Linked DNA regions of Tamandua tetradactyla. The protein of the gene in region 1 interacts with the protein of each later gene in a pairwise test. Links are inferred from orthologs where the notes say so. Each region holds a gene or a part of one and is shown in the gene's direction. Other genes may lie near its edges.

What was found.
Region 2: the proteins of CDK6 (region 1) and CDKN2B interact in binary tests that used the Homo sapiens proteins (3 or more experiments, as listed by UniProt). The link is inferred for Tamandua tetradactyla from reciprocal best matches to the Homo sapiens genes CDK6 and CDKN2B.

The regions. Positions count from the first base shown.
Region 1 is NC_135327.1:123,417,046-123,425,031, forward strand, and holds the start of CDK6 (cyclin-dependent kinase 6), read left to right. Parts: upstream 1-4,986; 5' UTR 4,987-5,131; intron 5,132-7,655; exon of another isoform or gene 7,656-7,924; 5' UTR 7,925-7,986. UniProt on the Homo sapiens protein: Serine/threonine-protein kinase involved in the control of the cell cycle and differentiation; promotes G1/S transition. Phosphorylates pRB/RB1 and NPM1.
Region 2 is NC_135328.1:74,575,485-74,583,032, forward strand, and holds the start of CDKN2B (cyclin-dependent kinase 4 inhibitor B), read left to right. Parts: upstream 1-4,535; 5' UTR 4,536-5,025; coding exon 5,026-5,181; exon of another isoform or gene 5,182-7,466; coding exon 7,467-7,548. UniProt on the Homo sapiens protein: Interacts strongly with CDK4 and CDK6. Potent inhibitor. Potential effector of TGF-beta induced cell cycle arrest.

The DNA.
Region 1 (7,986 bases):
CTGTGCATACTTCTTTCAGTAACACTCCCGGAGGGAGACTAGAACCACTGCTGCATTCATTGAACACTAACAATGTCCAGAGGGCAACGGCCAGGTGCTGGAGGATTTCCAAAGGGAAAAACGCAGAGCTGATGCTCTCAGGCAGATCAGGGTGTATAACAGACCATCAAGCTTCTAATAAGGCAGGAAGTGAATGACCCTAAGGAGTTCAGTGCAGGAGGGATGTCTGCCAGCTGAGGGACATCTCAAAAGTTTTATAAAGGAACTGGGCCTTGAAAGGATGGTAGGATTCAGAGAAGAGGGCTAAAAATGGGGAGGAAAGGGAATTGCAAATAGAGGAGGCATGTTTCTGAGGTCCTGAAATCAGTAATCATTGATTCTTAAATTTTATTAAAATACTTTTCTGGGATATGTAAAAAATTATCCTAACATATTCCTAAAGTAAATAGAAAGTAGTAGTCCAAACAAGAGGTACTAAGGGATGCAGAGCCAACCTTTCTGTTGACAAACATTTATTGAATATAAAATATTTGCCAGTTGCCAAACAAGATACTAGAGGTATGAAGATATGAGTAACTTTGAACAAACGTATAGTAGTAAAAATCGGACCTTCTCTACAGTTTTTAGTAAAATGCTTGATCCACAGAACTATGCTATTATATACTTTCTTCTAGTCAATGAAAGAATTCTGTAAAGAATTCCATTCCATGTTATTTTCAGGAAAAACCCGTAACAGGACAACGTAAAACAGAATTGCACAAATACGGATACATGTACTACATAAGCTCATTTACTAAGACAGACATAATTGCAAAATAGGACAGACATAGAATGCAATTCATTCTGAAAGAATCAGGTTGCCTGGATACGCCATACTTAGAGCACCAAGGCTGCTCCTCTTGGCCCCACAGCCTCAAGATGTGCTTCCTTCACTTGCCCTACTTGTTCACAGAAGCCTCTCCCCAAGGTGTCTCTCTTTTTCTTTCCTGATAACTCCCAGATTCCACCTTATCATCATTCCCCCTGACTGCGCTGTACCTTCACTGCTTCATCTGAATGGTTTCTGTAAAATATGTACACACCTTTTAGTTCAACCAAAAGTAGCTATGGCAACAGACTTCTTAGGCCAAGTAGGCAGTCAAGATACAAGTATCATCTTAAAAAAGAAATTTTAGAAACCAGTGAAAATTATAGGACAGTGTTTACTGAAAAGGAATGTAGATATTTTAATGTAATTATCATCTTTTATATTTCCATAATTATTTTCCTGATTATTCAAAATTCTAATATAGATGATCAAAAGGCCATTAAGAACATGTTTCAAACATATCATGACCATAACCCAAGATTATACAGATATTCACAAAGAAACGCACATATGTCCATGAAGGAAAATGAAGGTATGGATGCCTATCAGAGGGAAAAAATAGAAAAAATGACGACAAACAAATATGAACATAGCAGTGACACGTTGCACAGTGATAATTATAGAGTAGTAGAATCCATGAAAACGGAATGTTCTAAGAGGTAATAATGTCTGTTTTTTTCTCCTTAAATTTTATAAGCTACTACCCTATATATTATTTTCCTTCACAGAAGATATCCAAATCTTTTCAAGTTTTACTGCTTAACTGTAATGTACTAGATCACATGCAACTTAAAAAAAAATTCCAGATAATTTCCAAGTTATCAGAAAGTAATTTATTTAGAAGACAACTTTAAAAATCATTTAGATGATTATGGCGATGAATATACAACTAGGTGATGATATTGTGAGCCACTGATGGTACACCATGTATGGAATGTATGTATGTGAAGATTTGTCAATAAAGATATTTAAAAAAATTATTTAGAGTTCAGAATTTTAAGATTGGAAAAAGTTGATAAGATAACAGATGTGTCTTAGGATATTTAGCAAACTTTCAATATATTTTGAGGTAAAACCTTAAAAAACACCTTGGAAACATCTATGGTTCCAAGATGAACCATAGATTCATCAAAAAAAGAATGCACTGAAATGAACAGAATTATACCATTTATGTTAAAAATTAAAGTTTTTCATTGTAATTATTTAACAAAGATAATATTGACACACATATTCAAGTGAGGGGAAGTCATTTCAAAATTATTAACCCAGAGATGTTTTTATCAAAACAATAAATAGATCTTTACAGACAAAAAGTATTTATTTACCTGGTCCTCCAATTAAAATTATGGCATATTAGATGATAGCAAAACTGCATTTCCCAAGTTTCTGAAAAATATATTTTATAAATTCAAATAGCCAATATAAATCAGACATGCTATAGAATTAGAAGTACACCAATACAAATAATAATTTTTTTAAAATTACTAATTTCTCAAACAAGGTTATTAATTATGTACCACAGATTTTAAAAATTATTTTTATTTCAGTAAAAACAAAAAAGTAAAGATATTTGATATAAAAATGTTTACACATGAAATACATCCCTTGTCTGACACTGAAAAAAGTTTCAGGGTATGCTACAATAGCATGTTTGGAAATACACTGATGAATTTTAAGTTTTAAAAACTTGTAAAATGATTTGCAACTTTAGAATATCTGTTATGTGGTATGGAAATACTAATGCAAATCATTATTCTTGAATGCTCTGTATTCATTCATGGAAGACTCCTAACCAAGGGAGTAAGGATTTGGTTCAAAGTTTATAAACTTTGCACAAATTTTGTTATGATAACCTGTTATCCACAGAGGAAGTTATTCATAAACAAAAACAATCCGGTGGTTACTAATTTTATACAATCCATTGTAAAACCTCCTTGAGTCTAAAGCTTTAACTAACTAAGATTTAATGTGAACCATAACCAGAGAGAGAGAACAATGAGAAATTAGCATGAATAAGTAATATCAGAAAAAGCAGATGAGAGGAAGAAAATCAACACTGGATATTAGCGTATTTAGATAAATAAAGTTTCATTGATTTTTACATGTCTGAGTGTCCTAGTAATCTAAATCAGGGAATTTCCAATCCAACTGTGGTTGTTGACAAATTCAATTTTTAAAAAATGCAACCTAATGTAGAAAAGATACTTTTCTTTTAATTTTAAAGATATTTATAGTTAACTATTTTTCTAACTAAATTATTTACTCAAATACAATTTTGCAATCATATGCTGGTTACTATGACTATTTTGTGACAAATATTTGTGGATTATATAAATGTCTTAATTACCAGCAAGTAAATTTTGTTTTAAAAGGCATGATAAGTATGGGCAATTACCAAAATGGAGGGTTCTCATTTGTGTCTGGTGATTAATAAATGATCCAACATTTTGTATAAATGCAAAATCTAATAATTTGCCTTCTTAAGTCTCTAAGGTATATGAGATTATAAAGATCTTTACAAATACAAATTTTGTTCAGAAATTAGATTTTATTTTAGAAGTATGCTTCTAAACACAAAATGCACTTTATGAATTTGCTTAAGCTTAAAGACATGCCATTTTTCATTTTCATTATTTAAGAAAAAAAATTATTATAAAGCATTGAAAAATGTTTGCTAATGGAAATACATCAACTTTTATTTACCTAACCTGTTACTTCACACTAGTATAGAATCAATTTTACTAAGGCAAAAAAATGTAATCTGCTGTGAAATTAGTAACATGGTTTAATCCCAAAACTCAAAGAATATTTATAGAGGTAATATTTCCAATTCAAGCATAATTTTGCAGACTTTAATTTTTCCACAAAGCACTGAAATATCTTTTTTAAAAAAAAGCTTTGCTTTAAGATGTTTAAGAGAGTTTCAAATATTCTACAAATATAAAACAATGAATTTTCCCCCAAAAACAGCTATATTTTAAGTTTTCTTTTACTCCATGTAGAAAGTCTTGAAAATTTTTCCCCCCAAAAATCTCATTTTCACCTGAAATAATAGTATTACGGTTTTCAGCAGGTAAAGTACACGTTCTTCGTTTCTTAGAAGGTTTCAAATTTCAGAATTCCAATAATGCGTTTAAACTGAGAACCCACCGAATCACGTTCTCTCCCTCTTTGTGTGTGTGCCTATTATCTTGCAGTTCTGTTATTTGCACTAAATTCTAGTCTTTAACTCCTCAGAAATACCTTAGTGAACCTTCAGCAGTTGCTAACCACTTAATTGTGAACCAGCCAGCCCCTTCAAGTAGATCGTTAACCACAAGAGTGCCTGACAATGTCCAAACCATATCCTCAGTCCAAAAGGAAAAGATAGGGCTTTGTGCGGCCGAAAGGAAGCAAAGGAAAACAAAACAAATGTAGCTCATGCTGAAAGTGAAAAGTGCTTGGGCAGATTAGTATTTTCTTTTCTGCAAGGCGTCCTGCCAAACTTTTTTTTTAAATAGAGACGAAGAGTTATTTTTTTGGTCTGATTTTTCAGTTTCTTGGAAAGTGTTAGTATTTACCACTCCCACGGCCCCTAATTATTACTGTTGGTTGCTTTGTGTTTTTCCCATTTGTCCACAACATAAACTGATGCTATCTCCGCCTCACCCTGTCAAAACCCCAACTTTGAGCGACCCTGGCTTTGGAAACTCCGGTGACTCCGGACGACACATCCCACCCTCTCCCTCTCACGCCTCTAATTTCAGCCGCTGGGTCCCCCACTCCAGTTACTGTGAAAGCCGGAAATTTTCGCCCACCCCCACCCCCGCTACCACCGCTACCGCTCGGGGCCGAAGGCTGCGGAACCCAGAGGCTCGGGGCACAGCCGGGGCTTGGCCACCTCCCCTCCCTCCGGAAGGCTTTAATTTGCACACTTGCTTGCCACGGCGCCACGAGCCCCCAGCCTCGCCGCCGCGTGGGTGTCGGCGCGGGCGGCCTCCTAGGTCCCCGCCCAGCCGCGCGACCACCCCTCACTTCCCCGGCTCCAGTCGCGAGCCCCGGCGGGAGCCGCGCGGCCCCCGTCAGCCCCCGGCAAGCGACGCGGGCGGCGCCCTCCGCGGTCCCTCCGCCCTCCGCCGCAGTGCCCACCCCCTCGCCGGAGAAAGTGCTGGTAACGCCTTCCCCGAAGTCGAGTTACCTGCTCCGCGCAACCGTGGACACGTGCGGAGGTCGGACTGACACACGCAGGTCCCTCCGCAGGCCCGAGGCGGCCAGGCTCCTCAGGTGAGGGGCTGTGCACTCGGGTGGGTGGGCTGCGGGGTGGAGGGTCCCGGGGGAATTACCGGGCCTGGGCCAGTGTCGGAGGCGGGGTGGGGAGAGAAGGGGTGGGGGTGACGGAGGGGGTCTGGGTGTCCTTGGACTTGCTTTGGTTAACCCCTTCTGAACCGACACCGGGTAGGTTACGGGGGCTTTGGGGCTCTAGAGGAACTCCTCTTAATCTGGCGAAAGCGGGACAACCCACACTAGGAATACCCCCCAACACCGACATCTTGTGCCTATGCACATCCGTTTCCACAAACACCCACACAGACACAAACTTATCCAAACGGAACTCGAACTCCACTCCGACACTCACATAATAACCCACAAGTAAAGTTTAGAATGCTCTGCCTCTGAGGACTCCATGCGGGAGAGTATGCTTCGGTACCCCATATTTATTTCCCCACGGAAGCTCTCTCTCCAGCTCACGGAGGTGTGGGTATGGGTTCCACCTTCCCCACCACGAGATAAATGTTAACGCAGGCTTCCTGCTGGCAACCCCTGCGGGCGTGTTGTGTACAGTTAGACGAGTGAACGCAGCCAGCCTGCATGCAGGCCGTTTGCTTTAGTTTCAAACTTTACTTTTATAACTTAAAATATCGAAGTTAAAACGCAAGCCCCATGGGAGCAGCGCTCGGGCCCCGCAACCCGCCCGTCTGCACGTGGGCGCAACTGCGTGTGCGCACACGCAGGAGTCGCGGTCCCGGTGTGCCCTTTTGTCGCTGCGCTGGTGGCGACCCTTGGGGTACTTGGCAGGCTTCGGGAGAGGCACATGAAGGATTTCATTGAGTGTGAAGACAGGGAGCAGAGACAGAAAGCAGAAGGAGGCGGCTGCAGCCTTTGTAGTCGCAGAGGAATGCGGAAATGTTGAAGCACTATGTCAAACTTTTTTGAAATGGGGTCAAGTCACATTCAGCCAGCGTGGGAAAGCAACAACAACAACAAAAAAAAAAAAAAAAAAGAGGAGGAGAGGGGGGGAAAAGGCACTGTTGCTCCCGTTTTTCTCCGCAGAAGCCGACGGCCCGGGGAGCGCGGGGGACAGAGCCAGAGCGCTTGCTGCGGGCTGTGCGGGACCGGGCGGGGGCAGGGGCGCAGTTCCCTGCGGGGGTGGAACCTCCCCGGACGCTTCCTTTTCTGCTGAGCCTCCCGCTGGACTTGCGGGGGTGGGGGGAGGTTGCGGGAGGGATTGGCTGAGCCGCCTGTGGCGGCTCCCCCGCTACCTGTGTGGCCCTCGCCCTTGCTTAGGGCCCCAACGGGCTCTGGTGGCTCGTTCCTCGGCTCCCTCAGTATTCGTCTTCACCTTTTAAGGAAAGCTCCGGATGGCGCGAGGGTGAGGGGCTCTGTCCTGGTCGCAGTCAGCGCCGTATGCACCTAGTGGGGTTGCGCGGGTTGTTGTTTCTTAAATTCCCCGCCGGCGGTTTGCAAGGCAGGTAATTCCGAGGTGTCCCAGGAATTAAGGACACGCGGCTGGAATGTTTGACCGAGGCCACCGCGGTGGTGGATAGGGAATACCCTGCGCCCGGGATTGCAGCTGAAGGGAAAGGGGAGGTTGGGTGCCCCCTCCCCCGGGCTTTGTTGTGCGGGGGCGTTCGGCTGCAGACCCGACCGGGCCTCAAGCCCAGGAGTTACGTATGGTGCAGCCGCCTCAGCTACCTACCTCAGGGACCGTCTTGGAAATGGAGAAAGGTCCGCGAATCCCGACCCGGAGGTCGCAACCCCTCTCATCCCCACAGACACAGCATTAACACCCTGGCCCGCTTCCACCCCACTTTTGGGGGAGGTGGGTGGGAAGTCGAGTTTTACTGTGGTTGAAATCAGTTGAAAACTTAGGGCGAGTCATGGTTATGCCACCTTTCTCTTGAAGTTATTCTTTAAGGAGGCGACATGCGAAAATGTAGTGAAAACCCCTTTCTCCCACCCTTGCGGCCCCTGAGCGACTTCCCCTTCCAGGACCCCTTGCTCGCCCACCCTCAAGTAGCGGGAGCCCAAGCCCTCCCCAACCTGATGGGTTGCCCTTTCTGGATTTCTACCACGGAGGTCCTCTGAGTTGAAAGAAAAATTCGTTTCTAGCTAGACTCCTTTACCCCCAAAAGACCATTCGTGTGTGCGAGTCGTTTTTAAATGTCTCCTCATAGAAAAACTGAAAGTAGAAAGAAAGGAAGCAATTTCCGAGCAGATGTCTGACCACCCCTTCTCTTAAGCATCGGGTTACAGGGTCCTGGGAGCCCCCACCCACATTCTGCGGCCCCACACGGGTGGACCCACAGTCCGTTCACACCAGCTTGTGCATGACCCCTGAACGCCCCCCGCCACCTCAGGACTGCCTTTTCCTGCACGTCCAGGCCCCCGGAGGCGGGGAGGGTAGCAGTACAATACGATGATATAGGGATAAATATTAAACCGTGACATTGGCGAACCCGGCGCCTCCCCTCCCCCGCACTCCCGGCACACTCTGGGCTGCTTGGCACGCCCCCTCCCGTTCCACTGCGTCCCGCGCGGCGCGCTCATCCCCGAGGGGCCCCTGCAACCTCCCGGCGCGTAGACGGCTCCAGCTCCGCAGGGAATTCCAGAAAAGTAACTTCGCTTTTCTTGGAAGAACCAGGAAGGATTAAGTGACCTGGGAGACGGCAGGAGAGCTCGGAGGGTAGCGATGGGGGCTTCGTGAAGGAGGAGGAGGGGGAGTCTGCAGGAACCCCGAGGAAAGCGCCTGGGATGTCTGATTGCAATTTCTTCTTGTCCTGCCATCTCCTCTTTTAGGTGAAATAAGTTTGGACTGAGAAGTGCTCAGGCAGAGACTATGTAATCGCCTCGCTGTCTCA
Region 2 (7,548 bases), on another chromosome or scaffold:
GTGTCAGCTCTGCGCTGAAGTTTCTGTCAGCTGCTATTTCTGACTCTCTCCAAAATGTTTCCTCTCTGACAGGATGCTAGTAACTAATCAAGACCCACCTGGAATGGGTGAAGTCACATCACCATCTAATCAAAGGTCACACCCACAATTGAGTATGTCACATCTCTGTGGGATAATCTAATCAAAAGTTTCTGACCAACAGTATTGAATCAGGATCAAAGGAAATGGCTGCCCCCACAAAACTGGATCAGGATTAAAACATGGCTTTTCTGGGGTACATAATAGATTCAATCCAGGACAGCAACCAAGCAGTTAATGAAGAAAACTTTCACTTTATACAAGTAGTCCAACTAACAAAAGAAGAAAGAATGATAAAATTAGAAAATCACTGTTTTGCAGTTACTAAGGAAATAATGGATCTAAGAAATAATTGTTGATGACTGCTAGAATCACAAAAATAGATATTTGGATTATGTGCCTCTTGATGGAAGTACACAATATCAATTAGGAAGAATTTTTGCAAAAACATTGAACCTGAATTACATCCAGCTAGATCTAAATAACTTACAAGCAATACAGGTGGCAAAGAAATAGTTTAAATGTCATCATTCAGAGGTATTCAGCAAACAATTGTTTCAATTCAAGAAACAATTGAACAACCCAGTTTCTTCAACAAACAAATTGCAAGGAAATAAAAGAAAGAAGAGAAGAATCTATAGATTAGAAGAGATATGATATATATATATATATATATATATATATATATATATATATATACCAATTTCAGTATTTTAACCTTATTTTCTATCTTTTTTAAATAAATAAATTATTAATAACTGTTTAAGAGAAAGTGAAAAGTGATCTGTGAAAAAACGAAAGGATATACTAAAATGATGAATTATGTCCACCATTCAATTAAATTTAAGAAACATATTGGGAGGGAGAAAGGGAGATACTATGGATCCTACAGGAATAATTATCAACTGATGTAATGGAGAGAGTCAAGCTTCCTGGGGAGGAGGTGGCTCATGCGTATTTTGAGTAAGTCTGAAGCATGATCTTGATTTTCTTTCTCTCATTTAGAAACAATCTCAGACCCAACCATAAGCAAAAAGCAATTAAATAAAGGCATGTCATTACCTCTGTACCATTCAATTTACTCTAGTCACTCTAGTATAGTGAGTTCATATATAGTTTCATCAACTAGGAATGTAAACATCATTATCATAGTGGTTTGCCCCACGTACAAGATTGGAATGAATTCTACTTTCCTTTTCATTATTCTCCCAAATTCTATGCCAATTCACCTATTTTCCCATTTTCTTTCTCTCCCCACTTGTAAATTACCCATCGTATTAAAAAAATCATGGCTGTAACAATTCCAAGTTTCAGCTGCCCACTATGTTCCCATCTTGTTCATCTCCTAAATGTGTTTGAAGCATTAACAATAGGTTGTGTTTCATCCTAAAGACAGCTGGATTTCAGGGAGAGGTGAAATATTTCATTATTTCACTCTATTGTCCAAGACAAATGTGCTATTGTGTTACATGTGAAATGTCATCTTTGAAGTCTGTTAAGGGCGTACTGTGCAGTGAGCCATCTGGAAAACACAGTGCAGGCTGAAAAATAATTACAAGTCTGTTTATTGCTTTTTTCCCAGTTAAGCCTACCATGACAGCTGCTAAAGACACTATGTAATGTAAAGAGTAGAGGCTCTGAAGCCACACAGGCTTCAACCTCCAATAATGACAGTTAGTGTGCAAGTTACTTAACTTCTCTATCCTTTTGCCCTGTCCGTAAGATTGAGATACTGTACTAATGTATAGCTCACAGAGGTTAAACGAAACAGTTCCTGTAGAGCACTCAGAATACAGTGCAAGTGTGACTCCTCCTCTTTTCTTTTTAATATTAGATTAATCAATAATATTTGGAAACAAGGTTGAGCAGGTTGGTTTTGACAAGAGTTCCATTGAACTTCACATGGCTGCCTTTAAGTGTCAGGGAAGAAAAGGGCTTTGGAGAATAAGTGTGAAGCTTTCTCTAGAATTCCCTGTCCTGCGGGTTAGGACCACCCAGAAATGCTTAATAGGGGAGCGCTGTCCGTGGTGCTAGTAGCCATACGCGCCCCTGACAACATTCTCCCTGGCCAACGTTCCTTTCCAGTCAACTCAGGCAATGAAGCTCATATCCCTGCTTCCTGGAAAATTCTGTCATTCTACTTGTTGGCTTTTCCCTACCTTACTCATCATTCTATCTGTGCCTCCTTCAACAACTACAGCAACAACAACAAAATTATCTGCCATTTCCTTATCAACTCTAAGTAGTTTCTATATTTCAGAAACTTTGGCTATGCCCACCACTTAAGAAAATGGCTCAGACTGTCTTTTCCTAAACCTTTTGTTAAATTTCAAAGAAAGCCAGGGCAATAACACACGAATTAGTTAACTTCTGTCTTATCCTTTAAGACTCTCTTTAGTTGTATCTGCTCTAAGAAATTTTTCCTGCTTCGCCAACTTGGGTTAAATTCCCCTCTTCCTTACTCCTAAAGCTCCCTGTAAATACATCTCAGTAAAATTATCACAGTACATTAAGCCTTTCTATTTATTAGATTTGAGTGCCACAAGTGAGAGTTTCTTGAAAACTAACACCTATAATTTATTCAATTTAGACTCCTAGAAAATAAGACATGGTAAATTCAGTTTTGTTGAACTAAATTCAATTACTTGTTCCATTAGAAGGAAGGTCCCAACACAACTCCTTTTAAAAGCAACATGCATAGTTGCTTTCACTGTGCACTGAGTCTCGGAGTAGCTAGTTCATTCTGATGAAGATATTCTGGACTAATTTCATTTGCCATCACACTCACCAACATCGGTCAGATGAAGTCCCTTAGGATCACTGGCAAAGAACCAATACTGCCCATTTTAAAGGCTCTGTCTTCCCAATGCCCATATTTCCTCTCCCTTCTCCTATTCTTCTTAGACACCTGGATTCCCCAATACACTGTGCATAGGAACTGGTCTTTTAGAGAAAACAAAAACAGCTTCTCCATGGTTTTCACCAAGAAACAGACTTCTATTCCCCTGACCAGACCAATGCATGGGGTAGCCATCAACAAAAAAAAGGACATTTTTTTCCCAGATGAAAACAGAACTCAAATAAGAGTAGAGTAATAAAAAAAGAACCTGAAAACTAAGAAATGGGGGTACAGTGGAAAGAGAAAAAAATGTTTTTAATGCTGCTCCCATCCTTTCCCTATCCAAGTGGATTTTAGCCCTGATGAAAGTAAGTAGATCTTCAGCTATAATCAACATTTCATGGGCCCCACTGTCTTTAAATTGTAAAGAACTCTTAGTTATACTATACAGGGTTGGAGGAGGAGGGATCAGAGCTAACATGCTAGAAGAAGCATTGTTTTGAAGTTTCTCATTCTTGAGTAAGCAAACTATTGGCCTCCCTTTAAAACTCTATCTTCCTCAGCATTCTAAACCAATATATATGTTTATATATATATATAATAAGAACTGTCTAGTGTTAGGAGAGACTCATTCTTGTGTAGTTCTTCACCAAAGTTTTGAGGCAAAAAAAAACACATAACTGTGATTCTTCACCTATTTCCATGTAGCATCAACTGTACTTTTTAAATCTGTAAAGCAAGGAATATATTAATTCAAACTTACCTAGAAAGAAAGTAAAGGGGAAAAAAAGCACATCGACTTTAAATCTTCAGAAGAGGATTTAATGACAGGTTCAGCCTGTTTAATGACAGCCAAGCACCACACCCTATTTTATTTTGTTTCATTATTACTGCATAAATTTCCTTTATTACTCACGATAAATAACAATCAAATACCTGCCAAGATGGGCGTAAATAGGTAATAGTGCAAAGATATAGTACAAATATCATGAATATGTGATCATAAATTCTTTAAAATGTATTTGTTCAACTCTTTCGTGTAACACGTTGCCATCCTCAATCTCAAACTGATTTTTCTTTCCTTTTTCTTTTCTTTCTTTGTCTAAGGCTTGCATCCATAGTTGAAAATTTAAAAAGAAAAAAAATGATCACACAAAACAAGATTCTCAGGATTTTTCGTGTTTTTATGGCTGACTGATTCAAATATGAAAACACACCTAAAAGAAAATTGCTGATTGATGCAAGATGTGAAACTGTGATGTGCAAGTACTGCTTGAGGTTGAATTTAACCTATATGACAGGTGCAGAGCTGTCACTTTGAGACATGTTAGACGAAATTATTTAAAATGCCTTTTACAAGGGAGAGACTAGGAAATGTCTCCAAAGTGAAACACACTGACTTGGGGCTGGTATGGAATAGAAATCCACTGCTCCACCTGCTGGAGATTAGAGGCTGAGTACAGTGGGTCAACATTTTCAAAAACTTAGCCTCTGGCTTTGCTGGACACCTAGCGAGCCAGCAGCGCGGCCCGCCTTCCACGCGGCTGGGCAAGCCAGCCTCTGACGCATGCGTCCCCGGGACCCAGGGCTCCCTCATCCCTACCCCCGTCGGCTGTGACGTCACCGGCTGCCGGCCAGGCCTCCAAGCGACCACAGCCGGACAGGTTCACGCCCGCCAGCCCGGCAGGGGGCGGGGCCTAAGGGGGTGGCGAGAGTCAGGCCGGTGGCCCAGCTGGGAACGCAATTCATTCCCAACGGGCTCCCGGCTCTGAGAGCGACGCTAGGCAGTGAAGACGCTGCGGAGTGCCTATACTCTGCGGCCCAAGCCGCTTTGCGCTCAGCTACCACCACGCCAGGCGCCGCGTCCCAACAGCCGGCCGGCCGTATCGGCTGGTTCTCGGGCGCCAGGGAAAAATTTTAAAAAATACCAGTCGCTCGGCCACTGCAAGAACCCCGAACAGCAGAAGGACGCGAGAAGGGGTCGAAGCCAAGCTTAGCTCTCCAGTAGGGGAAGGCGCTCCGCGGTAGGTTGGGGAAAAAGAGGAGTGTTGCGAAGCTCACGGCCAACAGTGGATTATCCGGGCCGCGCAGTTTCTGGGGGCTGCGGAATGCGCCAGGAGGACAAGGGCATGCTCGGTGGTGGCAGCGACGATGTGGGCCTGGCAAACGCAGCGGCGCGGGGGCAAGTGGAGAGGGTGCGGCAGCTCCTGGAAGCCGGCGCGGATCCCAATGGAGTCAACTGCTACGGGAGGCGGCCGATCCAGGTATTTGGGGCGGTCGGGCCTCGCCGGCAGGCGGCGCTCAAGCGCGGGGCAAGGTATTCGTGCGCCGGGATTAGAACCGAGATCTCCGCGGATGTAGACACTGCGCAGTTGTGTCTGTTGTTAAAAATGTGAAACGCTGGCGTAAAGCAAGTTTTCACCCAGCAAAAATTCTAAAGAAAGGGATAGAAAAGTCTACTACCTCAGTTTGGTTTTCTTTCTGATAGTGGAAAAAATATTCACAATAGTCCCTCTGCCATCTCGTGATCAAAGATGGAAGGTATAGATTCAGGGGCAAAGGAAAGGGGAAAAGGAAAGGGAGTTATTAGTAAAGGGGGACAGTTTTGTTTTGTCTATTTTCAATGATAAAGATAAGTAAAGTACAAATTCTACAGTCTGGATAGGATTTAAGGAACTCTACAAATCATAGCACATGAAAAACAATTTTACCATTCACTTTTAAGTCGCCATACTAAACCCTGTTTACCTTTCCTCATAGAGACGAATAGAATACAAAAGAAGGACACAGGATTCCTCATCCACAACTTTTAATTTATTTATTTCATGTTAGCAGAGTCTCATGAATATTATATGAGAAAAAAATGTCGCTTTTTTATCCATAAAAATTTCCAGACATTTCTCGCTTAATTATTATACCAAAAACTTGGATTAGAAGCAACAATTATTAGGTCCTTTTTAAATGGCAGAGTGCCCTCATAAATAATTATCCGTTTAATTATTAAAATACAATTATTAAAGATATTTATAAATTCCACTTTAATTAGTACTGATATTTTAAATTTTCTTTAAAATCTAAGTTAGTGCTTTTGTGCTTTATGTTGAACAATTATGGTTCATATTTAGCATTTACTTCACCATTACCTTCCAGAACTAAGTGATTATTAAGGAATCTTACTAATCCTCCAGAATTTAAAGAAAATATGTGTACTCCTTTTGAATACACAGCAATTCTTAGAAAAGTGGTATAATGAAGGATAGGTTAAAGGCAACAAAAATATTGTAGAGTGGTTCTTAAAGACTTCAAATTTATTAATTGTAAGGCAAGATTTCTTATATATAGTTTTAATTCACCATTTTCTGAGATACTAGGAATCACTTTATTCTATTCTTCTCTCTATGTAAAATTCCCTTTATATCACCAATAGAAATGATGAATTATATCATGGCTTTTGAAGAGAGGAAATGGATGTTTCTAATATTCATGAAACAAAAAAAAAAACCTAGAAGACTGCTGTCTTTCAATTACATGGTACATTTTACAGCACATAAACAAACATCTCCATTTTAGATGTTTAGTTATCAAAAATTGCTTAAAATTAAATGCTTGCATAACCTACATGTCCACAAATGGATGCTATAGGATTACTCCTCCAAAACATTTTTTTTCTGAATTATGCATTGTCAGATTTGACTGTTACCATCCAAGCAAAATATTTACTATTTAACATTATAAAATCCTACAGAAATTATGCAATGTAAACACAGTGGTTAAGTTGCATTAAATATATATTACATACTAAACGTGTCAGCATTTATTTTTAACATTAGCATCATTAAAAGTGGTTACCTATTTATTTAAAACAAATCATTTATTTTCATTTTATAAGACTATGCACAACTTGATTTTGTTTTTCCCCCTCTATCTCCAACTCTCCAGTTTTGGCTCAGATTATCAGAGTATAATCCGTTGATGAGTACAGATGCATGACAGTGAAAATCAAAGGCATTCCACAGGGGATTTGCTATGAAAACTAACAGTACAAACCTTTTTTTAAATTTAGTTGTTTCTTATTTTCTCCTTTTAAAGAAATATCCCACCTTCTAAAAACTATATATCAATTGCCTAATATTTTTAGGCCTAGACTATGTAGGAGGGGGATCAAGGGAAAAAACAAGACTTTAAAACTTAACTCCTACTCATAAATAATTTAGCAACATGGCTTTCCATGTTCTAGTGGAAATTTTTAAAAATTCTCTTTTTCCTTTTGGACAATAAGCACTTTGTCATTAGCTGTTTCCGCAAGTTTGGAGAATAACATGGAATGCAATCTAAATTGACTAAGAAGCATAAGGGTGGGCGGGGGGCAATAACAAGACACCTTAGGCTTGTACTTGCCTCTACATTGGGGGAGATTTCATAAACAACTATTTAGTTTAAATGGCCCCAATCCAGCCACCTCTGAAGACTAGTTCCCAGTCCCTGTCGCGCTGCACCCGCCCCACCCCTCTCCCCGCCTTCGCCCTGACGGCTCTGCTCTCCCGCGCAGGTCATGATGATGGGCAGCGCCCGCGTGGCCGAGCTGCTGCTGCTTCACGGCGCGGAGCCCAACTGTACCGATCCCACAACCC